Linked DNA regions of Drosophila melanogaster. Each later gene encodes a partner of the first gene's protein in a complex. Each region holds a gene or a part of one and is shown in the gene's direction. Other genes may lie near its edges.

Region 1 (8,941 bases):
CAGTTTAGGATAGACAAAGAGTCCCTATCGCAACCATCGTGCATAGATCGACCATCACTAGTTCTGGAGATGTGCAGAAGTCACTGGCCCGTTTCGCCGGCGACCAGGGTTGGCAAATCGGCTGCGCCGGTAGTTGGTCCGTTATACATTTCACAAATTCCACATTAAATTGTATCAGCATGGACTCCCCGCTGAACGATGGCTCTCACCATCCACCGCCGCACGCTCCCCACCCCCTGGTGAGTGCTCTACGGTCCTTAAACTGCCACTACCCAAACGTTTGCATCTATTTCAGGCGGACTATCAGTTTTCTGCGGAGGAGGTGAAGGCGTTACGTGAGTGCAACACTGAGTCTTTCTTCCAGCGCAGCCTGCCTTTCGGCACTGGACTGGGCCTGCTGGCCTACTTCGGCGTCAAGAACGGCTATTTGCAGGGACACGTCAAGTACGGCGCCGTGCCCAAGGTCGTGATGGGCGTCATTCTGGGCTACTTTGTGGGCAAGTTCAGTTACCAGCAGAAGTGTGCCGAGAAGATCATGCGCCTACCCAACTCCCATCTGGGCGAGCTGCTGCGTCAGCGTAGACAGGGCGGCGGTGTCATCAGCTCCATCACACCGGACGAGAATCTGGGCAGGGCCTTCACTCTGGCCCCCTTCTCGCCGAGCTCGGCGGACGTGTACAGCGATGAGGCGTATCAGCCCGGGAGGAGCACTTCTCTCAATCTGGACACGGAATCGCGCCCTACTTTGTCCGGCCTTGACGACATCTACCGCCCCACCCTGGACTGTAAGCTCATCTAATTCTTCGCATTCCCTATTATGATTCTGTACATTCTCCTTCCCAGCAGCTGGTTCAATGCTGGAGGCAGAGTTGCCCTTGGAGCCGTCTAAGCCGGGCCAGTCTTACGAGGACCTGCGACGAAGGAACCGAGAAGAGTATTCGAAGCACCAGCAGAGTCCATACTCGCGACCTTACGAACCACCAGTTGCCGTTCAACAGCGACCCGTGGAGCAGGCACAAAGTGAACCCGCTGGAAGGAAGAACCAATACGGCGACTCCTGGACTGATTAAGGTATTGTTATTTTGTTGGACATTAAACGCGCATAAAGTTCTGTGAAAATTCGTTGTCTATTTACATTTTTTTTTGGGGTTGGAATATTCAATTACTTTCTAGCCTGGTCGTAGTTTTCTATGTACCACTTAACCGAGGCGTTGATTGCCGTTTCCAAGTCCGTAAATGCGTAGTCTGGCAGGAAGGAGCGAAGCTTGGCATTAGACGCAGTCTTTTTGTACTGTCCATCCGACTTGCTCGTATCACAGACCAGTCTTCCCTGGAATAAATCAAGTTAATATCTTGCCTTGTCTCAAATTTCGCTTTTTAACCCACATTAAAATTAAATGCTTTTGCAACGGCTTGGGCCACCTCGAAGATCGTCACCTCCTGCACTTCGTCCGCGCTTAGGATGATGGGCTCCACACTTTCGTAGTTCCTGAGCACCCAGATCATCAGCTCCGCCAGGTCCCGGGAGTATACAAACTGCCGTAGTGGCATGCCGCTTCCGAAAACGGTGAACACCTTGTCGTTTTCGGGGACGTCAGTCTTCTCCGTAACCAGCTGGTGCATCCTATAGATCATGCCCGGAATAACGTGGCTGACCTCTGGATTATAGTTGTCGTGGGGACCGAATATGTTGCACGGAATGACCGAGGTGTACACCCGGCCATATTTATCGTGGTAGGCGTGGTTCTGCACGTCTATCAGTCGCTTTGCGTAGGAGTAACCATAATTGGAGGGGTGCGGCGGCCCATTGTGCACCATGGTCTCATCTATGGGGTAGCTGGTTTTGTCCGGAAAAATGCATGTGGACAGGCAGGACACCACCTTCACGCATCCCTGCTCGTGTGCCGTTTGCAGGACATTGTCGTTAATGAGCAGGTTGTTGCGCTAAAAGTGGATTCGCATGAAATGGGTTTTGGAATCATCTGTGAGACCAGGAGCTCACCAAGAAGTCCAGGTTGTTGTTCATGTTGTGGAACAGGCCTCCGACCATTGCAGCCAGATGGATGACATGCGTGGGCTTCTCTCGGGCGAAGAGTGCCTGCGTGGCGGCCAGATTTCTGTGGAGAGAATTTGTTTACGGATACGTTCAATTGAATTTCTTCATGACTTACGTCAAATCTGCATCTTTAGAGCCCGCAAAAAACCATTGCTCGTCCTCTGGGGACTGCTCCTTGATCACAGCCTCCAGGGCCTTGCCCACCAGCCCAGTTCCGCCTGTAACCAGAACTTTCTTCATGATTTTTGTGCGATTCCACAAATCAAGTCAATTAGTTTCTAAAGTAATTTTCGACTCAATGCGACCAGCTGCTTTAAATGCCGGCTAATCAGTCAGTGCTGCCTGCCTGGCGTTTTTAATCTAATCCTTTAGCTATTTCTTGTTATCAGAAAAAGCCACTTTTAGATTCTTTACTAAGCCCCATTTGGTCACACTGTGCCCAGGTAGTTTTTGTTTATGCGGTGTCGGATATGCGAAAAATAATTTAAATGGATATGGAAACGCAAGTTATAGACACCGTTAACGAGTTTCTGGTAATAGTGAAACCCTGCGTCTCCAAAAAATCACCCACTCATCCACGCTCTCCATTTCGCAGAAGGTCGACTCCCTTGACGAGGCGTTCGTTAGCGTCATTGTATTCAAGCCAAACACCGAGCAAGAACGAGCTACCCGCTTCGCCAATGATTTGGGTAGGTAAATGCGTCTGCTGGAACTCGAAAATTGTTAAAAACTATCTGTTTCAGTTACCGCCTTTGGGAACGTGGCGCAGGAGAACCGGGAGCAGGTGCTTCGGCTCTACCTGTTGCGTGCCGCCGGTGCCTCCGGATATCACATCAAAGTGCTGATGGCGGCACTGGTGAAGCTGGTGGACGCACACGTGATCACCGCCAGGATGCTGTGCGACAAGGTGCTGATGTGCGAGAAACTGGACTTCGAGCACAGGACCTTCTGGATCGAGAGCTTCCGGCTGATCAAGCGTGTGATCGTCCAGGTGGACTACAAGGGTGTGCGCGAGATCATGAAGGTATGCCGCGACAAGGCACAATGGTTTCCGCTGAACGTCAACGTTACCTACATGCCACAGCTACTGGCCGTTGAGGATATCCTGCGATTCATCTTTGATCGCAACAATTGCCTGCTGCCCGCCTACTTTATTGCCAACGAGATTATGCGTCCGTTTCCTTACCACTGGAAACTCAACCGGCTGATGACCGACTTTGTCGAAGAGTTCCGCACCACGGCACAAATGGTTTCGATCATTGGACATGCCAGCATGCTTCCCATCGTAGAGCATTTCGGCTATGCCGATCACATGATGAACTCCTGGCGACTGGACCACAATACCCTGAAGTTTAACTTTAAGGGTAGCCTGCCCTACGAGCCAGAGCTGCTCGAAGAGCAGAAGCCCCTACTCCGCTACGTTTTGGAGCAGCCGTACTCAAGGGAAATGGTCTCTCAAATGCTGAACCTGCAAAAGCATCAGAAGCAGCGCTACAATGCCCTGGAAGAGCAGTTGGTTAATCTCATAGTGCAGGCCATGGAGATGACGGAGGCGAATGATGCCACTGCGGGAAGTGGCTTTAACTCCTCAGACGAGCAGATCACGCCCTACGAGTGGATGTGGCTGCATCTCTCTTCGCAACTAATTTACTTTGTGCTCTTTCAGTTCGTAAGCTTTATGCACATAGTGTTGGCGCTCCACGAAAAGGTAGGTCCATGGTGGATGAAATTAATATTTCTTGTAATTAACTACTTTTCACCTATAGCTTTCCAAGTTGGAGCTTCGCAAGGGTCGCGATCAACTTATGTGGATTCTGTTGCAGTTTATATCCGGAAGCATACAGAAAAATCCTGTAAGATCCTGTTCTCCACCTGATTGATCTTATTTTTAATCGCTTTTAATTTTAGATCACCAATTTCCTGCCTGTGTTCAGATTGTTTGACCTACTATATCCCGAGCTAGAGCCTCTTAAGCTGCCAGATATCAATAAATCCTCGATGGTTCGCCATATGGCACCCATTTGCGTTTGGATTCACCTGATGAAGAAGGCACGAGTGGAAAACATGAACATCACCAGACCATTGCCAATTGCACTGAAAAACCACTACGAGTAATACCTCTAACTTCCTTTGGTGTTTAGATACTAACTGCTTAATTCCCAGCTTTCTGCAGCACCTAGTCACGGCTAACACCATGATGAACATGACGCTAGGAAACGACTTCCGCATAATTCTCATCTGCAATGCATACTCAACGAATCAGGAGTACTTCGGGCGTCCCATGGGTCTACTGCTGGATGCCCTAAATGGCACTTCAAAATCTCCAAACGGTGGCCAAATCCCAGCCGTAACTTTTTCGGTCACGGTTCTGGACAGCTTGACGGTGCACAGTAAGATGTCGTTAATCCACAGCTTCGTAACTCAGATGTTAAAACAGGCCCAAAGCAAGGGTCAAGTTCCAGCGGCTGCACTACTGGAAACTTATGCCAGACTTCTGGTTTATACAGAAATCGAGTCGCTCGGTATAAAGGGATTCCTGAGTAAGTACAGCCTGTTGAAGTGATTAAACAATATGTTTATGGTTTTTTTTCCTCCTAAAGGCCAACTGATGCCAACAGTGTTTAAGAACCATGCGTGGGCCATGCTGCACACCTTAATGGAGATGTTTTCGTACCGGCTGCACCATGTTCCTACTCACTACCGGGTCCAATTGCTGTCTCTCCTTCATTCTCTGTCCTCCGTGCCGCAGACAAACAAGATGCAGCTCAATCTCTGGTTAGTTATACGTTTATCGAGTATAGACTTCTTTCTAAGTTCTTCCCTTTGTATAGTTTTGAATCTACTGCACTGCGTCTGATCACCAGCATTGGATCCGCCGAGTTTCAGCCGCAGTTTTCGCGTTACTTTAACGACAAATCTCCCGGAGCAGTGGCGTCTAATGAGAGCGAAGAGCTAAACAGAGTACTTATTCTTACGCTAGCTCGATCCATGCACGTACATGGTGGCGGCGATGAAATGCAGGGATGGTGCAAGGACTTCCTTTCCAACATCATTCAGCACACGCCGCACTCGTGGCCCATGCATTCCCTAGCCTGCTTTCCGCCCGCCTTAAACGAGTACTTTACGCAGAACAACCAACCTCCGGAGAACAAGCAGCAGTTGAAGAAGGCCGTGGAAGAGGAATATCGAACCTGGACGTCGATGACCAACGAGAATGACATAATTGCGCACTTCTTGCGTCCAACTACGAATCCTTTATTCCTTTGCCTTCTGTTCAAAATAATTTGGGAGACGGAGAACATAAGCCCAGTGGCTTACAAGTGCGTAACATTATGATTTAAACACAATCATTTTTTCTGACCATACCTTTTTTTTTAGAATTTTGGAGGGTATAAGCGCGAGAGCCTTGTCCACTCATCTGCGTAAATTTTGTGACTACTTGGTGGCTGAGGTAGCTAGCTCATCGGATGGCCGCGACTTTATTCACAAGTGCGTCGACACCATTAACAACATGATTTGGAAGTTCAACGTTGTGACCATCGATAGGGTTGTGCTTTGCCTGGCTCTGCGAACGCACGAGGGTAACGAGGCTCAAGTCTGCTTTCTCATAATTCAGCTGCTCTTGCTGAAAGCCAGCGAGCTGAGAAATCGTGTTCAGGAGTTCTGCAAGGACAATAATCCTGATCACTGGAAGCAGAGCAACTGGTAAGTTGGACACTTGATTTTGTTAAGAGCACAAAGGCATAGTTGTTATTATTTCTCAGGCAGGACAAACACTTGTCATTCCATCAAAAGTATCCAGAGAAGTTCGCGTTGGACGAGTCAGCTTCACAGATTCCGCTGCCCGTGTACTTCAGCAATGTCTGTCTGCGATTCCTTCCCGTTCTGGATGTGGTAGTGCACAGATTTATCGAACTTACCATTACAAATGTCCACCAGATATTGGGCTTCATTTTGGATCATCTGAGCATACTCTACAAGTTTCACGGTATGTTAAAAGTGGCTTTCGAGAATTTCATAACTTTAAATTACCCTTTAAATTGCAGATCGACCTATAACATATCTGTACAACACCCTCCATTATTATGAGCGAATCTTACGAGACCGCCCTGCGCTAAAGAAGAAACTTGTAAGATTTGTTATGAATATTATATTCCCTTCTTCTAATACACTGTGTTGTTCCAGGTTGGCGCTATCACCAGCGCCTTTAGCGAGATTCGGCCGCCCAACTGGAGTGTTAGTGAGCCGTACAAGGTGTATTTGCAAAGCCAAGACTCGCTGTGGACCCCCGAATTGAGCTACTATATGAGTTTGATCAGGAGACTTGCAGACAGTAAGCTAGGATTTGGGAAAATACTATGATGTGTTCATATATTCATGCGTAACCCCTTTTATTTTGCAGCAATTAGTGGGAAGAATGTATTTTACTCCACCGATTGGCGTTTTAACGAGTTCCCGAATGCGCCAACCCATGCGCTCTATGTGACATGCGTGGAGCTGCTGGGTCTGCCGGTGGCACCGCCACTGGTGGCCAGCAATCTCATCGATGTTATAGTAAGCGGATATGCGGTTATTCCGCAAAAGGACATTCACAGCTACATTAATGCTGTGGGCATTGTTCTGGCTGCCTTGCCTGAGCCCTACTGGAGCGGCATATACGATCGCCTACAGGATATGCTCAACACACCCAATATGCTGAACTGGACCTACAGATTCAATGCTTTCGAGTTGTTTAACTTCAAGACAGTGCGTGAGGCGATGCTAGAAAAGACCTACGCCGTGGTGTTGGCAGTAGCTCACTCAGTGTTCCATCACATGGGCGCCTTTAAGCTGGCGGCAATGACCAGGTACCTCAAGGAGAAGCTAAAGCCGTGCGTGCGAACCGAACAACAATTGCTGTATTTGTGCCACGTTTTTGGCCCCTTCCTGCAACGAATAGAGTTGGAAAAACCGAACGCTGTGGCTGGCATAGCCGTGTTGCTTTACGAAATTCTTGAGATCGTGGACAAGCATCATGGTCCGAAGCCTCTGCAGTACATGGACCAGATCTGCGATTTCCTGTAAGCAAATCCACAAAATCGCATGAAAGGGTACTAAACAAATGTGTTTGTATCATTTCAGCTATCACATTAAGTATATACATGTGGGTAATATCATTAAGAACGAATCGGAAGCCATCATTAAGCGGCTACGGCCCCTGCTGCAAATGCGCCTGAGGTTCATAACCCACCTTAACTTGGAGGATATTCACACTGAAAAGATGTAAGGGCCATTTAATTCAAACTCTACTTCGGTTTAAACATAACTTTTCCAATTTCAGCAACGACAATACCAGCAATAATGCAATAACCAGCCAAACGCAGTCTCCAATGCAAACACAGCATCAGCAGCAGCCGCAGCAACCACATCAGCAACAACAGCAGCAACAACAACAGCAACAGCAGCAGCAGCAGCAGCAACAGCAGCAACAACAGATGCAGCAGCAACAAATCAACGCAGTACAAACAACCAGCGTTCCCTTGGGCAGCGGTGGCAACCTACAGCAGCAGCAGCAAATCAACCAGCAGCAACAAATGTATATGCAGCACATGCAGCAGCATCAGCACATGCAAAACATGCGCCACAATTAGACTTTGTGGGACTCCCAAGTCAGTTCAAGCTGACATAACGACATAAGCCTAATTTATAGTAGTATTATCTTATATTTTATCGCTTATTGCATTATTCATTTTCCATTGAATGTGTAAACAGTTCTCAGATATGTTTAAGTTAGATACTAAGGGAACTTTTTGTAAGTCACAGCTGTCGGCCCAAGTCCTCCCTCCAGCTTTACAATCAAAAGCTTGACTTAATAAGCCCAGCTTAAAGCTCTTCGTAGATAACCTGTAGTTGGTGATCTTGTCCACCTCGAGCGCCGTTCTCAGTTGTGATCGCAGAGCACTGCGATGTATGCGCTTCCGGGAATCCAGATTCTGTTGCTGATTGCTTCAGTCAGCGTGGTGACCGAGTACTGCGACAATGGAACGGGCGAGTGCAAGGAGCTGACGCCCTCCGACTGTCCAGTGATATTCTACAACCAGCACCTGATCGGAGCCGAAGTCAAGTACTGCGACGAGTTCAACGACATTGTCTGCTGTCCCATACCGCTGGATCACCAGAATCTGAAGCCAGCCGAACAGACGAGGCCTTTTGAGAAGCGTGAGGAGTGACTGCAACAATTCCCTTCGATTGATGGAATTTGAATATTCGTTTTTTTTTTTTAGAGTGCAAGCAATACAACGAGGTCAGATCCGCCTGCCAGTCCACGCCCTTCATCGTGGGCGGCACAAAGGCATCCGGTAAAGAGTTTCCCTTCATGGCCCTAATCGGCACTCATCGGCCCAACAAGTCCAAGTCGGACATCAATTGGGATTGTGGTGGATCCGTGGTGCATCCCAAATTCGTACTGACTGCGGCGCATTGCCTGGAGACGGATGAGTAAGTATTCTCTGGGATTCTCTTGAGTGATACTCCTTCCATATGTGTACTTTTAATTGTCAGATCGAAGGCCGAGCGACTGGACCCAAACTTTGATTCGCCCAAATTTGTAGTTCGCCTGGGGGAGCTGGACTACAACAGCACCACCGATGATGCTCTGGTTCAGGACTTTCGGGTGGTCAACTATGTGGTGCACCCTGGATATGATACTGAAGACGAAGAGCAGGGCTTTAAAAACGATATTGCCCTGGTGGAACTGGATCGGAAGGCTGAGTTCAACGACCATGTGGCAGCGGTATGCCTTCCGCCAGACAGCGGCAACGATGTTCAGCAGGTCACAGCCGCCGGCTGGGGATTTACCGCGGACGGTGTGAAGTCCTCGCACCTGCTGAAGGTCAACCTCCAGCG
Region 2 (5,773 bases), on another chromosome or scaffold:
CTTCAGTTGCTCCTCGCTCTTGCCAACCCACGCGACCTCGGGATGCGTGTAGACTACACTGGGCACGCAGTTGTAGTCGATGTGCACGTGGCCGCCGTTGATGCCCTCAATGGTGATGAGGCCCTCATCTTCAGCCTTGTGCGCCAACATGGGTCCGTGGATGCAGTCGCCGATGGCGTAAATATTGGGCACCACAGTTTGGAAAGTGGCGTTGACGGGGATCCTGCCGCGGTCATCCTTAACAATGCCCACGGCCTCCAGACCCAAACCTTCGGTGTAGGGACGACGTCCAACACTGACCAGCAGGGCGTCGCACTGGATCTCCTCTTTCTCGCCAGACTTGGCGTTCTCCACGGACACGGTGACGTTGTCGCCGCTGCGAGAGGCAGCCGTCACCTTGGTGCCCAGCTTGAACTTAAGACCCTGCTTGGTGAGCACCTTTTGGAACGTCTTGGAGACTTCGTTATCGATGCCCACGCCGCCGATCGTATCCATGAACTCAATGGCAGTGACCTCAGCGCCCAGACGCGACCATACCGAACCCAGCTCCAGGCCAATGACACCGGCGCCGATGACAACCAGATGCTTGGGCACCTTGGCCAGCTTCAGGGCGCCAGTGCTGCTCACAATAACTTCCTCGTCGATCTGTGAAGGTTTTTGAATGGCATGCATTAGTAATCAAGCGCGCTGTAGAGGTTTTGCACTTACTTCAATGCCAGGGAAGGGGGTAACCTCCGAGCCGGTGGCGATGAGGATGTTCTTGGTCTTGACAGTCTCCGTGGAGCCGTCGGATTTCTTAACCTCCACCTCGTTGGGATTGACGATGGTGCCGAAGCCCGTCAGCTGTGTGACCTTGTTCTTCTTGAAAAGCATGGCAATGCCACCGGTCAAAGCCTTCACGGCGTTGGACTTTTGACCCATAAGCTTCTCCAGATCCAGGCTAACGCTGCCGCAGCTAATACCACGTTTCTCCAGATCACCGGAGTGGGCCATGTGGTAGTAGTGGGAGTTGTTCAGCAGCGCCTTTGAGGGAATGCAGCCAACATTCAGGCAGGTGCCGCCCAGAGTTGCCTCCTTCTCCACGCTGACCGTCTTCATGCCCATCTGGGCGGCCTTGATGGCGGCGACATAGCCACCGGGTCCGGAGCCAATCACCACGATGTCCGCCTCGTGGGTGCTGGAGTAGCAGCGGGCGTTGAGGGCACCCAGAATGGCGGCATTGGTGCGCAGAGGAGTCTGTAAAGACGGCAGATTACTACATGTTGTGGCACCTTATCATTTATCACGCCAGTCGCACGCATTTCGCACTAATCTTCGGCCGACTATCAGCTGATAATTGGCCTAATTAGCGACCTTGAAAACGGGGCCAAACAAATCCCCAAACGCCAGTGAATCACCCACCGGGATCATATGAGCACTGCAGGTGATCCAAGTGCATTTTCCAGCCTTTTCCTGCCCATTTCTCGACCCCCTCGGTGAGGTTAGATTGCATAACTTGAGGGGCGATGGCGTTTGGGGAATCGGTTATGTCGCCCGATCCTTACCTTGGCTACTGCCGAAACAACATGACGGAGCGTGAATTGCATGGCTGGTGCGGGCGAGTTATGAGGATAATCGTTATTTAACTACAAACACAACACTAGTTTGATGTGTGTTTTTCCGACTGTTTTTCGTGTTGTGGGGCTCGGAGCGGTCGCAGGGCTGGCGATGTGCATTCGATAGTGGTCATATGATGGCCGCGATGCTATCGATTGTTTTGGTGATTTTCCACTCTGTTGGAATTTGAAATTCTAAAACATTTTCGTATGAAAAAGATGTGTATAAAAATATTAGCTTGATGATCGTTCAAAATACGATATGTCCGTCACTCAATTGCTAGTTTATACAATATTCACTTTATGGGTCATTTGTTGTAGCAAAAGCTACCTAAAAACAAGCCAACTATACGTGTAAGCCGGCTTTTATAGTTTTGGCACCCATTAATTAATGTTTTTGTACGTATAAAATAAACTGTAATAAATAAACTGTAAAATAACTGTTTTAAAAATATATAACTCAACGTACATACGATACATATATAATAAGAGTTCCAAAGTAATATTAACTTTATTATATCTATAGGTAATTAAAAATGTATTATACGATGAATATTCGATAGTTTGCCCTACAGTACAACCCTGTGTGGTATTCCCCATCTGGGATATTTCCCACAACACTTTTGGTATTTTCACGTCGCGTTCATCTCGCGTTTTCGTTGAAGCCTCAGTATTTCGCTAGCTGTCGCAATGCGGTCACACTGGTTCGCGGACACAACAAGATGGCGAGACTTGCCCCCGAAATCTGTTAGAAAACGCCACAAGAGCAAATAATTAGTTCAGTTTTCGACCAGAAAAGAGTCAGCCGAAGTGCCGGGCAGACGCGGCGCATTTTGCAGAGTGTGAGCTTGGCCAGCGTTGCCCGAGAGCCGCGACAGGCGACACCTTCTGCTGGCCTTGCCTTGTTGCTGTGCCCCTGTGTGCGTGAGCGTGTGCGGTGCGGTGCGATTGTGTGCGTGGGTTGCCAAGAGTGAAGAGAATCGCTGAGTTTCCAAGATGATGAGCAACTACGGCAACATGATGGACTCACCGAAGTCATCGCCCCACGGCGGCGGCCGATCACCCGTGGTGGCCCGTCAAGACTCATCCGGCACCCTGAAAACGACCATTTCGCTGGGCAAGACGCCAACGATCATTCACACGGGGCCATTTTACTCCATGAAGGAACCACCCGCCAAGGCAGAACTTACCGGCGACAAGGATCTCATGACCGAGTACGGACTGCACCACACACTCACCAAGTTCAAGGAGAAGAAGTTCAAGGAGTCGCTGGCCTCGTTTCTGCAGAACATCCCCGGCATTAACGACCTCATCACGCATCCCGTGGAGAATAGCACGCTGCGGAGCGTGATCGAAAAGCCGCCCATTGGTGGAAAGGAGCTTCTTCCGCTGACTCCCGTGCAGCTGGCCGGATTCCGCTTGCATCCCGGACCGGTTGGTTTTTCCAATATGCTTTTAATTCGCTTGCTCAGTTTGAAAAATGACGAATCTTTAGATACGGCACATTGAACATCTTAGAATACATTTAGACGCTATTCAATGCTTTGCGTCTCTATACATTTGCATGCATTAATTTCGCTTTTTAAAATTTGCATATGAAATTTGGATTTAAGTGTCCTTGCACAGACTGATCTACTATAAAGTGTTATTTGGTCGCACCTTTTCTGTCACTTATTTCTATAATCACCGTAGTATTTTAGAGTTGTAATTCATTTTCCTTATGTTCAACAACAAATTTGAAACACAAATATTTTAGTCATTAATCACAAAAATTACTTAAATTAACAAGAGTGTAAATGTTGGTTTTCCCTTTAAACCTCTTTTGAACAGTGTATATTAAGTCAGTAGTTCGCAACGCAGTGATCTATATGAACAGCTGAGTCGATAAGGCCATGTCCGCCTGCCCGTTTTCTTTCAGTTTTAAATTTTTGTTGCAAGTAGTGCATAAATCAGAACGCGCCAGTTTAGGCCACTAATTCATATTGCTGCCATATGGTTTAATATTATGATATTCAAAAAAAAAAAAAAAACTAACCTTCCTTGTTGACGGATTGTCCTTCCTTTCTTGTTATTGAAATATTGGCATTTAATATTATTGAGAGTTTTCTTTCACCCTATATGCAATCTAATAATAATAATAATTCATCTTAAAAGGTTTCGTGAAATATTTTTTACATGTCATATATTTCAAACAATGGATAAATCGTTACTAGAACAAATTGCATAAAATATATTATTTTTTTCCTCTGCACTTTCACATTGCTAATTTATCCGATTCTGGTGCTCCTTTCAGCTGCCGGAACAGTATCGTACCACATATGTCACACCTGCGCGTAAACACAAAAACAAACACAAAAAGCAAAAACACAAAGACGGGGTGACCACGGGACAGGAATCCACGCTGCTCGGTAAGCAATCTGCTGAATTATCGAGCAACTCGATCACACATAATCCAATGATAACCATCTTGCAGACTCGGCCGGCCTGGAGACTTACGAGAAAAAGCACAAGAAGCAGAAACGCCATGAGGACGACAAGGAGCGCAAGAAGCGCAAAAAGGAGAAAAAGCGTAAAAAGAAAAACCAGAGCCCCGAACCGGGCGTGGGCTTGCTGCCCGGAGGAGCGAGCTTGGGCGGAGCAGCGGGTGTAATGGGAGCCACTAGTCTGGGATCGCTGGGAGGAGGACCTGGAGGACCCGGGCTGTCCAGCCTTAGTGCCAGTATGGGACCTGGCGTTGTGGGGAACATGAATAGCTTCTCCTCATCGATGCAGATGCAGCAGCAACAGCAGATGCCCATGCAGCAACAGCAGATGTCAAGTGGCGGTCTGCTGGGATCTGTGCTGGGCACTAGTGGCGGTCCAGGTGGCGGCGGCGGAGGAGGAGGTGGTGGCGGGGGCGGCGTCGGTGGGAGTCTGCTTATGTCGCAGTTTTAGGCAGGATCCTTTAGCAAAATAGACTTGGCTCATTACCTCTCATCAGCAGACGCACCCCAAATGGCAACATAAAAAAAACGCAGAGGGCCTCGGTCCTCTACATGCAATTTTCTCGATATCGTTTCGTGTCCTAGTTATTAATTTATGATTATTGTAAATGTAAAATAGTTTATTTCTGTAATTAGCCAACAATTTTTCGTTCGTTTTCGCGCTAGCTTAATGAGATTTATTTAAACGCAAGTTATGGTACAAAACGCAAGAACGTTTTCGCTCTCGATTCCAGCTCTTCCCTCCACACAAACACACCCCTCGCCACGCCGCCACAAAAACGCTGCTTTGCAACCTCTTTAATTTGCTTACCAACCTTGTAACGTGTGTAGGGTCAGTATTTCAATTAAATTTCTGCAATGGTTTGTTCTTCCAGCAAGTTTATAAACACAAAAGAAAGCTGAGATTCAACAAAATAAAAATGCCTGTACTATAAGTAATTAATTTTAGTGATTAGGCACATAAAACAATAAACAAGCATAAAAATGATCAAAGTGTGTGTTTACAATAGTTTGGGGAGCTTAGTTCATTTTTCGAATATAAGCATTTGTTGCACAGAAGTTCTGCTTCCAAGGAGCCCTTAAATTCAAATTTGGCGCCAAACACTTGTTAGCACTCTGTTGACTTTAACATGGCGCATTAACAGCTACGCTGAAATCTGACAGATAGTAACATAGCCTTAACAGGCGCCAACAGCTGCTTTAATTCTCAGGGAGTTTCTCGCAATCGAGAGTCAATTAATAAATTAAAAGTGATGTGTATAAGATAGTCGTCGCTGCAAAGCCATAGATGAGTTGTAACTTCGCCAGATTTTCGCGACAGGCAGCTATCAACATGTACAAGCAGTCGTGCACCAATCTCCTGGAATTATCCTCCGCCAAGGTGACCGAGTGGCTAGCAGGCTTCGACAGTGTAATAACCGACTGCGATGGTAAGTCGGTGGTGGGGATGAGATACTACTAACTCGCACCCACCCAGGATTCCCCCCAGGAAGTTGCGTTACATAAAGATATGTGTATACCACATTCTGCCCAAATACGTCAGCAGCCAATAGTTTCTGTATTGTGGCTGCGTCGTTTATTTCAATGTCAAAGAGTGAAGTGCGTGATATGGCGGGAAGTCGACTTTCGGATGCCCTCATATCTTGTTAATCATCGTTATATTTAGTAAAGAGTAAAGCAGTAAAGAGCCGTTTG
Region 3 (5,733 bases), on another chromosome or scaffold:
AGCTATAAAAGAAATGAATGCATCTGATAAAGAGTGCATATTGGCTTGTGATGAAGTAGCAATAAAAAAAAACCTAACTTACAATGTGTCAGTTGATATAATAGATGGAATAGAGCATTTACTTGATCGCTCTAATAAAATCGGAAGCCATATTTGCGTATTTGTTCTTCGGGGTATTTTAAAAAAATGGAAATTTATTTTAAACTATTTTGTGGCCGAAACGAATATAAAAGGCGATTGCTTAAAAAGTCTTATTTATAAAAATATTATTATTGCTGAAACAATTGGGTTCAAAGTAAGGGGTGTTGTGTATGATCAAGGAGGTAACAATAGAAAATGTACCTCACTACTTGAAGTCACCAATGAGAAACCTTACTTTACCTTAAATAATAAAAAATATATGTTTTATGACATTCCGCATCTTTTCAAGTCTGTAAGGAATAATTTTCTAAGAGCTAATTTTGAAACCCCTGACGGACTAGTTGACTTTGATGTCATTCGAGAGGTTTACGAATTAGATCATGGATCAGTAACGAGAATGACTAAATTAACAAGGAGTCACGTTAATCCAACCAGATTTGAGCTAATGCGCGTATGTTTGGCAACTCAAACACTTAGCCACACTGTTGCAGCGGCAATTAAGACTTGTAACCAAAACAAGCAATTACATCGAAATAGTTCCGAAGTTGCAGCTTCTACGGCTGCATTTGTCCAAAAAGATAATGATTACTTTGATTGCCTGAATAGCAGAGTATTAACTGACAAAAACCCCATGAAATGCGCGCTCCAAGTTAACAATGGAGTTTGGAACAAACTAAAGGAAATGCAGGAATACCTAAAGAGCGTTAAATATCACGGGAATAAAATATATTGTGTTGATGGCTTGATCCAAACTACTGAAGCTATATTTGGACTCGTCGAAGATCTCTTTAAGGATCACACAGACCACTTTTTCTTTTTAACTAGTAGAGTTAACCAGGATCCCCTTGAAAATATATTTGCGTGCGTTCGAGCAAAAGGTGGTAACTGCAGAAATCCTTCAGTTAACGAATTTAATATAATAATTGCCAAGCTCATATCTCTACACATTTTTAAATTTTCACAAAAGTCGAATTGCGAATCAGATGATGATGTTATGTTGCCAATAGAGTTCGATTCGATAATATATCAGCCTTTCGTTGAAAAAAAAGAAATACAGCAACAAGAATACTCTGTATCATTTTCCAAAATCGTGCAAGACAATGAGAGGTACTTTGACCAAAATATAGATAACTTTTTGTGCAATGATGTACCCATTGAATTAACTTCCAGTAGATATTTTGTTGGATATATTGCTAAGGGATCCAGTTGCGATAAATGCAGATCGGTAATTTTAAAAGAAACCGAGCATTTAACAGCTCCATCAGAGCTTTTTATACATGAGAAAAACTACTCAATAGAATCGGACTTCGGGAAATTAAGGGCACCATCTGATTTATTTTTTAATATTTACAAAATACACATTAAAGCTTTCGAAAATATTTTTAAAAATAATAAAAAACAAATGTGTATAAAAAAATTTATTGTTGAGCAATGCATTAAGTGCACAAATGAAAGTAGTGCCTTCCCATTATGGTTTTATGAAAATAATGAATGTTATGCACATAGAACAGATCTTTTAAACAAACTTATAAAAGTTTTGCTTTTTAAGCATTGTAAGTGGACTGTGATAGCTGATAGACAAAAAAAGCAAGCTAAGCTCAGCATTCTATCTCATGAATAAAAAAAATGAGCGTTATTTAAATAACTGACGACTGAAAAATCGAGCAATATATAATAAAAAACAATAGTTAGAAAAATAACTTAATTGGGGAATATGGAAATGTTTTAATGTTAAACATTAAAATATTTCAAGTCGACTCGAAGGTCATATACGTAAATATAAGACCCCATTACAATTGTAATGGCCTCCCCGTAGTGTTCCCTGGGTACCGACTATTACACATATTACACATAAATAATTATCAACATAAATATAAATATGTAAACGGTAGCTAATTCGAGCGGCGATTTTAACAAACGAATTTAAAAAGCTTTAAAATTAAAAAATTTTAAAATTAAAATTAAAATTTTAAAATTATAATAAGAAGGGCGCGAATTTTTAAAAATTATTTTATTTCATCATATTGCTACGAAATTGGCAAAAAACTACCCTAATATGTACAATGTAAATTCATTTCTTTGATCAGAATTGATTTCGGCCCGAAAATCGTCTTCTAGCACAACACCCACACATATACGCGTTCCCGTCTCTTGTTTTTACTCACACAAGCAAGCAAATTCTATTTTTAGATTTCTTATGTTCTCAGCGTGAGCGAGCGGAAAGAGAGCAATTTTGGCCGTCACCAAAAAAGTGGCTGCATAGTGCCAAACCAATGTATGGCCGTTACGCATCTTGTTATTCTAGTGTCTTTGGTATGGCCGTTACGCATCTTGTTATTTATATGGCTTTGAATAGACCATGTGCAGTGTGATTAATGTGGGGGTATGTATTAAAAACGACATATAATATAAGTATATTTATGTATGTGCAAAAGGAATATATCAGGATATTTCGGTAAGAGCGACAAACCAGCCAAGTGTGAATTTATGAAGTTGATGCATCTATATTTTTGCAAATCTCAAGTTTATATGCAGAAGAGTCACTGTCGTTATATTTGAATTTTGCTCACTAGCGGAGATGATTAAATTTTTTATTATTGTACTGAAATACAAAAATGTTTTTTAAACTTAATTAGCATTTTAAGTAATAATAGTTTTTCTCCGGTATTCTAACGTTACCAGTGTGAACGGATCGGACAAGCATTCTTCCTAATTTAGTACTACTAACCGTTTATATTCCAATTACACTATATATATGGACACAGTCAGTTTTGGTTTTTGTCAAACACGGAAACACAGTATAAGCATGGGGTAGCTCAGTTCTTAGACGGGAAGGTCAATAAAATCTCTTCTGCTCGAGGTTCAGAATAAGAATAATATTATAGAACATATTAAAAAAAAAGCCGCTGTGGTAAAATGTGAATATAAAAAATTAAACATATTCTTTTTCTGTTGCTTATTAAATGTAAAATATATTCTTATATACAAAAGGCTTCCAAAGGTTTTGCAATAAGAAAAAAATATATACTCGATTTTGGTGCTGAAGGATAGTACTATAGTTTACTTTTTTTCAATTGTGAGATGATCCCTTAACCCAAGTTATGGGGTTTGGTAATTGTAAGCCATTTGTTTGTTTTTTGTTTTTGAAGAACACCGAGAGCATTTGTTTTGTACAAATCCTATATATACACACTTTTTTCAAATATTTCGCATTGAAATGAAAGAGTTTAAGAATCTTTATATATCCTTAACAAAAAAAAAACGGCATTGCTAGTCCGAATAAAATAAGTTAAGGGTAAAAAAACAAACAATATTTTAATATTCTCCATATTAAGTAAAGCGGGTAACTGGACGGAGAATCTACGAAATCGTTTTATATTTTACAAAATATATAGGACAACGGGAAAATATCCAAACCACAAAGCAACAAAACCTTCATTTTCTGGTCTGGTATATTTGACCCTTTTTTCATTTTGAGATTCACGCATTTAGCCCAAAAATGGACGTTTACTTTATATAATACTCCTATAGGTTTTCATGTCACATATAATACAATTCCTCTTCAATTCTGTTTGATAGCAGTATGATCAGGCCTTCCTGTTAAAAGAAATTCACGTGAAAGTATATCGATAATAATTGTTAAATACTTATCGATTTTCTGCCACCCTTGAAGTGCAGCTGTCATTGGTAAAAATGGCGAATTGTAATAAAGTCGGGAAGTCAACCATAAATTATTAATTTTCCTTATTTTGGACAAATACAAATTTTCATATTCAAGGAAGTGCGCTCAGGAAGCACAGACTTTACATTCGAAGTGTGCATATTTGTAAGCATAACGATTGAGCAATACACGTTTTGTATTGGTATGAGTGTTTCACAGACACGCTACTAACTCGGGTATTAAAATTTTTGAACTTCTGGGTCTTTAAACTTTACTTAATAGCAATTTTACGGCTATTTATAATAGTATTTATTTTGCAACAACGTGAAGTGAATACACTATAACTTTTTACTTTCTACCTACTACTTACTTTTCTATTACTTTCCTTATTTTTCTAACTTGGACAGTATTTGCATTTCGCCGTCCCTTGAATCTGGATCAGGGCAATATTTACGCACCGCAAGATATAAATGAACCAAATCGAAATACAGGAACTTACTACTCACCTATCCCAGGCACTTGATCAAAACTACGATGTAAGAAAACGTATTACCTTATCAACAAATCAGTTAATGTAAAGATCTTTTCAGGTCGTCAATATGGACGCAGTTCTCTGTGTCATATGTGCATTGGAGGGTACAACTATCACCAAGGAGCAGTTGGAGGCCACCAGATTGGCTAAGTACATAAATCAGCTCAGAAGAAGGACTAAGAATGAACATTTGGCTCGACGTGCAAAATCCTTGCTGAAAAAGTGGCGGGAAATGGTAGGAATTCAGCAAACAGCCACTGAAAATTTGGCACATCCCAGTCAAATTTCATCTTCACAACCAGCATTAGATTTGGTTAAGTCCCCTATCACCAGCTTTATTACAGAACCAATTGCTCCTTCGCAGCAAATAGTTTCAGATTTGCATTCAAATATCGACTCTGCGGAGCCTCCGCTTTCGGGTGAACATACCCTACTTCATCCGAACTTCTCCAACCTTGTAAATAGTATAAAAGATAGCGATCGCCACGAAAACATCGCTATAACGACATTGCATACTCACAAGGATCGGCGACATTCGCATTCCATCCGAAGTTGCCACGTGGCCTCTCCTCAGCCCATCGTCATAGATCATTCGGTAAATTCCGTGATTAACTTGACCGATGACAGCACCGTGAAGATAAACGAAGCTTCAGTTGTTATTGACATAGCTTCGGATTCCGATGAGAATGACAATAACGGTTCGTTAAATCCAAAAAAATTAAACTCAATTGTTCCTGCGCCACTTCCAATACCATCTACACCAAGCTCACGGCAACGCAAATTAAAAAAGGAAAAAAGAAGTAAGGAAAGAGAAGGACAGGTCGCAACAAATACAAGATTTGGTGCAAAAGCCAGCGACGGGTTTCAACAGGCCGCTCTGACAACAGATTCGGGTATGATTCAATTGTATTTGTCTTTGTGTCTATCCTTGCAGAAGCTCAAAGAAGCTGGGTTCGGAAAAATGGAATTTTCGAAATTTGAAAGCTGGAATCGTGTGCCCACCAATTAGTTTTTTTTTGTCCACGTCCAGTCTTTGAGATCTGAATTTTCAAAAAAGTTCGATAATCAAAAAGTGTACTTTTTCAAAAATTTTATATTTTAAATTGCAATAACATCGTTTGCCAACACTTTTGAATTTTGAAAAAACGTATACTTTAGAAAATATAAGACATTCAAGTTAATCTCGGTCTATTCAGAGAATAGAGCGTTTGACCATCTCTTAAAACTAAATATTATCAATAAAAAACGTTTGCCCAACCATTATTATTAGTTTTTATCGTTTTCCCACCCTTAAGAAAACCTTTGACAAATTTTTTTTTTCGATTGCCCGCACTTAAAAAACCAATAACTTAAATAACCAATTTCTTTAGCCCACCTCTTTAAAATGAATATTTTCAGC
Region 4 (8,494 bases), on another chromosome or scaffold:
GCGAGCTTAATACCTCAGGTAGGGAATCTGAGTTCTAGATACCAATGCAGTTGTTCCGCGTAAATCATTTACACTACCTACTTTATCTGGCTTCATATGTTTGAATTTCCCTGAACTCTGTTGAAATGTAATTAATATGCTCTTTGCAAAAGTAGCCTAGTACATTTCATAAAGGTTTATAAAACAAAAATTGAATCACGTGCAAATTGAACTACAAACTGATTACCCTGCCTCTATTTCAAGTTCTAAATAACGGTTCATTCTGTTGTATTTGTAGACTTTTGATTGCCTCGCAGGATGGGTACTTGTACGTGTATTCCATTCCCACCGTCGAGGGCGCAGAGTGCCAGCTAATAAAGAGGCACGACCTGCGGCTGGAGGACCACTATGCCATGGATATCAAAGGTGCTTAACTGTTCGCTTCTCGCACACACTTCACACTTACACACATCCCAACCAAACCCACAATCGAAACAAATTCTCTAGTTGATTCACCTCAAACTCTAGGCCTTAACAGTGGCGTGAGCATTGGCGGAGCAGCTGGAGTTCCGCCGAGCAGTGCAAGTGCAGCCGGAGCAGGCACTGGTGGAAGTGGCGGTGATGGCAAGTCGGCTGTTTCTGTTACCGGTGGTGTCGACAAACCAAGTAGCTCCTATGCGTCGGCCGTGAAGGGTGACGATCCCGTGGGACCCTCATCCGCTTAGACAAGGTCAATGATCAAAAATGAGAGATGCAGCGATGGTAAACGAAACTCACTCCTCAAAGTAATAAGGACGATGATGCTAAAGTGATTACAATGATGCTTGGCGACTGGCGGCGGCGATAATGATGATGAATAAACGACGGTGGCTCTGTGGCGTCAAGCGTATTTAAGTAAATAAATAGGTCATAGACTTAATTTAGCTCTTAACGTTGTCAGCGATGATTCTTCCTCGTTTTGTACCAGCCAATATTCCTTTGTACGGCCTCTCCCTACCCAAAACATTTTTTAGTTTTAAGCCTCCGTTCCTGGCGCTGCCATTGGAATGTGAAATGCTTTTGTCATACACTCCTAAGTTAGTTGTTAATTAATAATTTAGACGGATTTACAGATTCGCTTTGATATTTGAGTTGCCAGCTTTTTATACAAAATAAACGGCCTTTGCAAATTAGTTTTTAATTTTTTTATTTTTCCAGTCCTCGCGCATCTTCCCTTGACAATCCACCGAACTCGATTTGTATGTAAAGTTCTCGCCTAGCTATTGTTTAATCATATCGAAATATCTCGGATTAAGCACATACACCACACCTATATATATATATTATATATTCAATTTAAAATTTAACATTCAGCTAGCGACACGATGAGTGAAATGAAATTCAAAAAATCGGAGCGTGCAATGGAGGAACAATTTTCGGCATATATAAATAGAATATATTTTGTACAAAGTCAAATATTTTAGAACATAATGTTTAAAATGAAAACAGTTTACAAATGAAACTCATACGCTACTTTATTGTATTCAATAAATTATTTGAATTAAAATTTGTTTGTGGGTGCCTTTTCGGTGTCTTAAAATATATTTTAATATTATTTCCTTTATTTGGCTAAATTCCTCGTTGCAAAAACAAAATTTTCAAAATATTTAAAATTGGCGACAAATTTTAAGATTGTGTGTTTTTCAACACTGTAGGATGGGAAAATTATGGTACTCTTTTGGTATGATTAATAAAAGATACCTCGGTCACACTGAGCGCTGCTAAAAAATATATTAGGTTTAAATAAAATAAATTGCGTGAAATACGAGAAAAGTAAAAGTTATATTACTTCCACGGACGCGAGAGATGAAGGAGAACAACAAGATCCTCCAACTCATCTATGTGGCGTGGCGCGAGCGCTGGACGGACTCCCAGTGGGGCATCAACATAAAAAAGGCAAGGCAACCCAAGCAAATCAACACACCAAACAATCAATGTTCGTGTTTACCAATATATTGTAAACGCAATGAGGCCGGTACATTGAGAATTTTAGTGACTCAAATTGCCCGCCTCCGTGCTCTTAGTCTTGGGCTCGAAAACCGGATCCTCTGCCTGGGACAGTGCCAAAACCAGTTGGCGTTGCTTTACGGAGAGATTCCGGGGTATACGCACCTTCAGCGTGACGATGTGGTTGCCCACGCCCTCCCTGGAGCGCACCCCCTTGCCATTGAGCACCACCTGGGTGTGGGATTGGGTGCCCGGCTCCACACGCAGCTCCACGCTTTCGTACAGACCCCGTATCTGAAAGGATCCGCCCAGAATGGCCTCCGAGATGTTTAGGTGCTTGTCGGTTAGAATGTCATTGCCAACGCGTCGGAAATAGTCGCTAGACGGCACCGACAAGCGGTAGGTGACCTGCTGCTTCGTTTCCGGATTTATAATGTTCACCACATCACCGTCCCGGGATCCGGAAGGCACCGATACCATCACATCCACATTGGACACCACGAAGCCGCGATTCGAACATGTTTCGCAGTCGTTGCGATTTGTGAATCGCTTGCCCTTGCACTGCGTGCATGTGTTCACCGATGAGAAGGTTGGCGTTTTGGTCATGACCTTTCCAGTTCCATTGCATCGCCGACAGGGTTCCTTGCCCACATCCCGATGCGCCATCAATTGTGACTTGCCCTTGCAGGTCTCGCATTTCCGCAAGTAGCGCAGCTCTATCCGCTTCTTGCATCCCACTGTCGCCTCAAGGAAGTCAAGTGGCAGATCGAACTCGTTGCTCTTCAGTTTGTTGATCTCTAGAAGGCGATTCAAGGATCGTGTTCATATCGTGATATAGTGAAAAGTGAAATGGTGTTTGATGTATCTAAAATCCGTCTGCTTACCATCATTTGTCGTCTTATCCGAATCGAACTTCTTGGCCTCCTCGAGGCCCACATTTAGGGGATTGCCCGCCTGTTCAAGAAAAGCGCGCTCATCCTTAATCCCGCCCAGCTGATCGTACTCCAAGCGCTTCGTCTCGTCGGTTAGGATGTTGTAGGCGTTGGACAGCTCCTGGAAGTGCTTCAGCTTTTGTTCCGAGTGCGTCGAGTCGGGATGATAGCGCTTGGCCAGCGCATAGAAAGCCGATCTGATTTGCTGGATGGTGGCGTGCCTGTTGACGCCTAACACTTTGTAGTAGTAGTCCTTGGGCATGCCTCGGCTTTGCGGGTACTTAACAGCCGGAGATGACACCTGTTGAGGCGTGGCTCCCGCTGACGTTCGCTTCGCCTCCCGCTGGCGATCTGGATAGTAGGCTGGTTTCGTGGTCCTGAACTGATATTGACTGATCATCCGCATACAGATCCAGCAGGCAGCGACAGCGGGAGCGCGATCCAACTCCAAACAATGTGACGTCTTCCTGCAGCAATCCGTTGCAGCTCCGCTAATTAAAGTGCTTAATACGTCTCCAGGACTGCGAAATAATTTTAAACGAAACATTTTTTATCGCGTAACGAAATATGCAACTATGTGTGCTAACTATATAAGTGGAAATCCTAACTAGATTTTTAAGTGGTTCTGTTTCTGTTTATTTTATGGGGTTGTGACCCAGATATTGTGTTAAAGTTTGACAGGAAAAGAAAATGTTTCATTATTGTCTTTCCCTTGATTACTATTTCAGGTGCTGCCGAGAGGAGTCAGTGGAGATGTATACAATCTGGCTGACTGTCTGATGCAGCAGGCACTCATTGGTTCCACGGCTAATCCGGTGAGTAGTTGATCTGAGTATTTAGATTGTTTTCTAAATTGTAATCTATGCTTTTCAGTTGGTTCTTAACTACCTGAAGCATTCACTGTGCGCCCATCTCGTTTCTCACGCTGCTGTTATTCGGTGCATTGCCAAATATGACAAATTAGAGCGCGTTTATTGCATTACAGCGCTCCTTGAATTCCTGGCCAGCATCGTGGATGGCGTTACCTGCCGGTAAGTCCTTTTAGTTTTATAAGTCGTTAAAAAGCAGGAGTAAAAATAATTGTTCATTTCTATTTCCAGAATAAAATCTGAGGAAGCGGTTTTACCGAGTTCCGTCGTCCACTTGGTGTACTGGCTGCTTCAAATCTTCGCCAGAACTGTGCAGCACTATGAACTGTATGGTGAGATTAGTGCTGAGCAATCATACATGCTGGACCAGACCTGCGTGGTGATAGATCGGCTTAGCCAGCAGCAGTTCCTGCTGTCTATGCTGTACGTGGGCTGTCACGAAGAGCTCGAAATATGTGGACGGATTCGGGATAAGTACGCTACCATCAAGGGATCGTTGACGAACTCAAACTTTACGCTAAATGCACCACAAGTGGAGCAGCAATTGCAGCAGTTGGCCTTTATAGAAGCCAAGCATCTTGAAATGCAACCACTTAATCCGCCGTCAACACTCGAGAAGATCTCGTGCTGCGTGCAACCCTTACTGGCGGTGGAAGTGCTTCTCAATCCGTGCAAGGACACCAGCTACTACGTGGCTGAGTTGCAGATGCTGCAACGATTAAAGAAATACTCCAATACACGGCTCTTCTACGAAATCATCCGTGCTGGATTCCTCACGCTGAGCAATGTTGCGGATACAAGTCCTGACACTATGTGGGGTGCCTTTATGTTCTTTAAAATGCCGCACATCATTAAGCAATTGCACGCCCTGCAACGGATTCCCGGGGAGCAACCACCACCGGCCGATTACATACCCGAGTTGGTGGAGGCTTTGGAATTGCTCATCGAGGACAATCTGCTGCTAGACTTCATGGATACTAAGTGCTCATGCAATATGATCGAGTTCCTTTTGAATGACTGGACCAAGCAACAACTAGTCAATGATGTCCACGTAAAGAAGTTCGCCAGTCAAAGGTTAGTCGAGAAATCATGCATTTTGTACACCCATCTTAATTATATAATTTAAAACGAACTCTTTCAGGGAAGCCGCCTCTCAATTACTCAAAAAATGCGACAATGGCCAACAGACACCCTCCAATATAAACTTCATCAAGCGCGCAGAGGTTCCGCTTTCCGGAGTACTAAAAACGCTGTGCACCAACAAGGTCCAGGACATGGTTAATGTCCTTTGCCAAGTGCCGGTGGGCAACAGCTTCGAGTTGATTCTTTCAGTGGCTACCGTCGAGGGACGCCTCAAGACATTCGTATCGCGTCTGATCCAGTGCAATGAGAACTCCAAGCCGGTGCCGGGCGACCTGGGCAAGCTATGCGTCATCCGGTCCACTCTGTTTGATGTTTCCTTCCTAATGTTGACAAGCATTGTGCAGACCTATGGATCCGATGTTCGTAAACCCGCCTGTTATTACGCTGCAATTTTAATGAATTCTATTTTACTTCAGGTGGTCTTATCTGAGCGTGGTGACTCATTTTTTGAAAAATGGGTGCGTGAGTGCATGGTGGAAAGGAATAAGCTTAAGAATCCGCGTCAAATTCTTGCCCTCTGTGATGACAGTATTGTCGACGAGCTTTTGCTTAGCTTCAGTAAACCAGAGGCATCACAACTTAAGCCAAACAACTTAAGTTGGCAGGAGACTTGCCTTAATCTGCCCGGAGTGCTTCATCATGTGCTAATAGCTTGGGAGCAGGAAACGCTATCCTCGGCGGACGTTAAAAGTATTCTGGACAATATTAAGAGAAGACTTTTCAGTTTTTCCGTTTGCGCCACTAGTTTTCTATGCGCCTACATGTATTCGGTGAAGGAAACGGAACTTCTGAAACCACTAAACATGATTCAGCAGTTCCTGGCTCCGTTGACCAGCGAAGAGCTTTCCAGCCAGGAAAATGCCAAGGAGCGACTAGCTCTCTCCTATCAGATTATCAGAAAAATGCAACACGATGTGCATCCTGCCCCAAGTACCAAGTCCCGCCTCATTTCACATTCCCCGCTAGTCGAGCAGTTTCGGGAGGTGTGGCGAACAGTAGTCGATGCTGGTCACCTGCCCGTTCGCGCCGCTCAGTCGTTGGAGTCGCTTCTGCTAGCCGGTGGCGCGGCGTGGCTGTCCACGCAGTTGGTGGAGCAACTGCTGGCCTGCAAGTACACAAGGGATATGTCGCGAACCATGGACGTTGTGTTTGCCGTAATGCATCTCGACATTGAGAAGACCACTGAGGCGTTGCTCCAGTACGTGGTGGCTCCACTGATACTGCGACGACAAGGGTAAATACCAATATTTTCTTCTGTATATTATTTCATTTATTTATTATCTACAAATCGAATCGATTTAGCAAGAAAGGATGTAAAAATTGAAACTGCTATGATAGAACTCGTACTCACAATTTGGCAATCTTTTTTTTTTCTAGTGAGGACATTAATGAGCCCCAATCCCTGGTACTGGCCCGCCTCTGTGTTTACTGTATTATTTCCTGCCTGGAGAGCCGCAAAGGAAATGGCACTTCCGCTTTGACGGCCATGAAGAAGCGATCGAGATCTCACGATGACGAGGAACTGGCGGCCAATGCAGCCAAAGTGCGCAAGGTGATTGGCGATGGCAGCGACAACTCAAGCGACTTTACGGACACTACGACCGGAGCTGGCCTGGCAGCATTATTGGGCTCCACTTCCACATCTGAACTGCGGACTACGCCGCTTACTCTAAGAGAACCACTGCAGACGAGCGTGCAGCACATTTTCGCAGTGTTCCTGCAGTTTGTCAGTGGAGATGAACTGTCGCCCAAGGCCGTTTTTGTTTATCAGTTCATTTCGCTGCTGGTGGAATGCGGTGGTGAGAGGGTCGCTCCCGTCCTGCGCTTGCTGCCCAACGGCCTGGTGCAACAGCTCCTGAAAGTTTTGGTCACCGACGACATAAAAGTGGGTCTCATCAGCAGACTATACGATCTGCGAATCCAGGCAGGAAGACTGTCCGCTGTGTCTGATCTTTGCCTGTGGCGAAATATGCAGATGGCCAGGCACAGCATTCATCTGTGAGGGATTTGGATGATTGCCACATTGGGTATGCCGATTATGATTAAGAGACGGGTGGGCGAAATTGCTAAATGAATTGTATTAAAAACTAGAAATTGGTGACTTGACTCGGCTTCTTCTTTGCACGCAGTGGATTTTGTTTTCGTTTATTACAATAATTTGTTGTCGCCGATGTTCGTCTGTGTTTTGCTTCATCTTCTTCAGTTAGCGGGTGTAGGGGGAGGTGTATGGACAGGCTTAAAGTAAGAGACCTTGCGATTCCCTATATCACTTGAGCAGACAGCACTCGAAGTAGGTCTCGCCCACACAGCCACCACGCATCGCCTTCTTTACATTGTTCTCGAACTGACGGCGGTTGGTCTGCAGGACGTCGGCCGCCTCCTTGTTGAGCGGATCCTCGGGATTGGGTTCCTGGAAGCAGTTAATTTGGATTAGTAATACTGTTGGCTTGGGTAATAACAAAAATAGAAATAATGATCGTTAAGTGGTATAAACAAACATTTATATTGAATTGTTTCAGTGGGCGTTCAATTAAGCACACTTAGAAATCAATTGTTCACAAAACAAGACATAAAAAATCAATTGTAACTTGAAAACTGTGGCTGTTGATCAAGACTTATGGAACAAAGCGTATAGCCTCTAAAATAACACAAATCACGAAATACAAACCAAGAATAGAAACTGCAAGCCATAGACGATGGAGTTGATGTTCAGCACTGGATTCCAGTCCTCGCGCAGAATGTTGAGGCAGACGTTGCCATCCAGGTCAATATTGGGATGGTACACCTGGGTGGCGCACTTCACCTTGGGCGGCTCGTGCGGATAGTTGGATCCGACGCGGAAATTGAACACGAAGCGCCCGTCTCTGTAGAAGCCCTCGTCGGGCGAGATGATAAGCTTGAAGTTGAGCAAGTCATTGGGATCGGGAAAGTCTGTGGCGCAAGTGTTTGGCAGGTTCAGTTCGTTAATATCTGGGGGGAGGAAAACAGCCCAAGATGGATAAGTAATAAGCGAGAGTTGATCATACCAGGTGCTGGATTGGAGACTACCTTTCTGTATGCGCAGCTGGGCGGCGGACGCTTTCTTCTGCTGACTGCCCTTTTGCTCGCCGTCTTTCTTCTGCTGCTTAAGCGTGAATAGTTTAATCATCTTGGCGTCCTCGTCTCGCTGGCGTTTCGTCTTCCGCGTTTGGCTGTGCTCGAAAGTTTCTGGCTCTCTGGGGGGCTTTTGCTGCTTGAGGGACAGGTTGCATTGTTTGAAATGTCAGTGGTTTAAGGGCAATTGTTTCACTGAATCTTTGGCCTACCGTTAACAATAGAACTGATGTAAAAAATCACTTCGAGTGCTTTCTATCCTTTCCTTGTTTCTGCCCAGCGATATGTGTAATTAATCGATGGTTGCACCCGATAACAGTCTGCTCGATAGTTGTTGCGTAGTGCTGGTAAGCGGACTTCGGATTCAGCGGGATTCAAGCCAAGTTTGGATACTTCGAAACGAAGAAAATTTTAAAACCTAAATTTTCGACATGCAACCGGTGTCGTAATATATTTGAAAATCATCGTCATAATTTTTTTTTTTAAATATAT

What was found.
Region 2: MED23 (region 1) and MED19 share a complex: the UniProt entries of both Drosophila melanogaster proteins name them as parts of the mediator complex.
Region 3: MED23 (region 1) and MED26 share a complex: the UniProt entries of both Drosophila melanogaster proteins name them as parts of the mediator complex.
Region 4: MED23 (region 1) and MED24 share a complex: the UniProt entries of both Drosophila melanogaster proteins name them as parts of the mediator complex.

Annotation. Positions count from the first base shown.
Region 1 is NT_033778.4:22,886,464-22,895,404, forward strand, and holds MED23 (mediator complex subunit 23), read left to right. Parts: upstream 1-2,464; 5' UTR 2,465-2,550; coding exon 2,551-2,589; intron 2,590-2,651; coding exon 2,652-2,745; intron 2,746-2,799; coding exon 2,800-3,764; intron 3,765-3,822; coding exon 3,823-3,909; intron 3,910-3,964; coding exon 3,965-4,167; intron 4,168-4,219; coding exon 4,220-4,596; intron 4,597-4,656; coding exon 4,657-4,831; intron 4,832-4,887; coding exon 4,888-5,376; intron 5,377-5,434; coding exon 5,435-5,761; intron 5,762-5,820; coding exon 5,821-6,044; intron 6,045-6,102; coding exon 6,103-6,185; intron 6,186-6,241; coding exon 6,242-6,389; intron 6,390-6,458; coding exon 6,459-7,116; intron 7,117-7,177; coding exon 7,178-7,318; intron 7,319-7,376; coding exon 7,377-7,686; 3' UTR 7,687-7,962; downstream 7,963-8,941. Other genes in the region: asrij, read left to right, coding at 180-239, 296-785, 844-1,070; Gmer (GDP-4-keto-6-deoxy-D-mannose 3,5-epimerase/4-reductase), read right to left, coding at 1,163-1,330, 1,387-1,944, 2,003-2,117, 2,172-2,296; CG3700 (uncharacterized protein), read left to right, coding at 8,002-8,254, 8,320-8,533, 8,597-8,941. UniProt on the Drosophila melanogaster protein: Component of the Mediator complex, a coactivator involved in the regulated transcription of nearly all RNA polymerase II-dependent genes.
Region 2 is NT_037436.4:17,843,010-17,848,782, reverse strand, and holds MED19 (mediator complex subunit 19), read left to right. Parts: upstream 1-2,281; 5' UTR 2,282-2,591; coding exon 2,592-3,029; intron 3,030-3,888; coding exon 3,889-4,003; intron 4,004-4,068; coding exon 4,069-4,529; 3' UTR 4,530-5,058; downstream 5,059-5,773. Other genes in the region: CG7430 (uncharacterized protein), read right to left, coding at 1-645, 709-1,236, 1,545-1,586; CG5567 (uncharacterized protein), read left to right, coding at 5,367-5,508. UniProt on the Drosophila melanogaster protein: Component of the Mediator complex, a coactivator involved in the regulated transcription of nearly all RNA polymerase II-dependent genes.
Region 3 is NC_004353.4:785,686-791,418, reverse strand, and holds the start of MED26 (mediator complex subunit 26), read left to right. Parts: upstream 1-2,440; 5' UTR 2,441-2,524; intron 2,525-3,804; exon of another isoform or gene 3,805-3,967; intron 3,968-4,209; 5' UTR 4,210-4,272; coding exon 4,273-4,338; intron 4,339-4,392; coding exon 4,393-5,227; intron 5,228-5,733. UniProt on the Drosophila melanogaster protein: Component of the Mediator complex, a coactivator involved in the regulated transcription of nearly all RNA polymerase II-dependent genes.
Region 4 is NT_037436.4:8,189,565-8,198,058, forward strand, and holds MED24 (mediator complex subunit 24), read left to right. Parts: upstream 1-1,705; 5' UTR 1,706-1,824; coding exon 1,825-1,914; intron 1,915-1,957; exon of another isoform or gene 1,958-2,007; coding exon of another isoform or gene 2,008-2,762; intron 2,763-2,849; coding exon of another isoform or gene 2,850-3,444; exon of another isoform or gene 3,445-3,552; intron 3,553-3,625; coding exon 3,626-3,712; intron 3,713-3,770; coding exon 3,771-3,928; intron 3,929-3,997; coding exon 3,998-4,840; intron 4,841-4,907; coding exon 4,908-5,268; intron 5,269-5,325; coding exon 5,326-6,143; intron 6,144-6,282; exon of another isoform or gene 6,283-6,286; coding exon 6,287-6,911; 3' UTR 6,912-7,009; downstream 7,010-8,494. Other genes in the region: Atg18a (Autophagy-related 18a), read left to right, coding at 278-405, 487-704; CG7387 (uncharacterized protein), read right to left, coding at 2,008-2,762, 2,850-3,444; NEDD8-conjugating enzyme UbcE2M, read right to left, coding at 7,176-7,319, 7,578-7,879, 7,958-8,057. UniProt on the Drosophila melanogaster protein: Component of the Mediator complex, a coactivator involved in the regulated transcription of nearly all RNA polymerase II-dependent genes.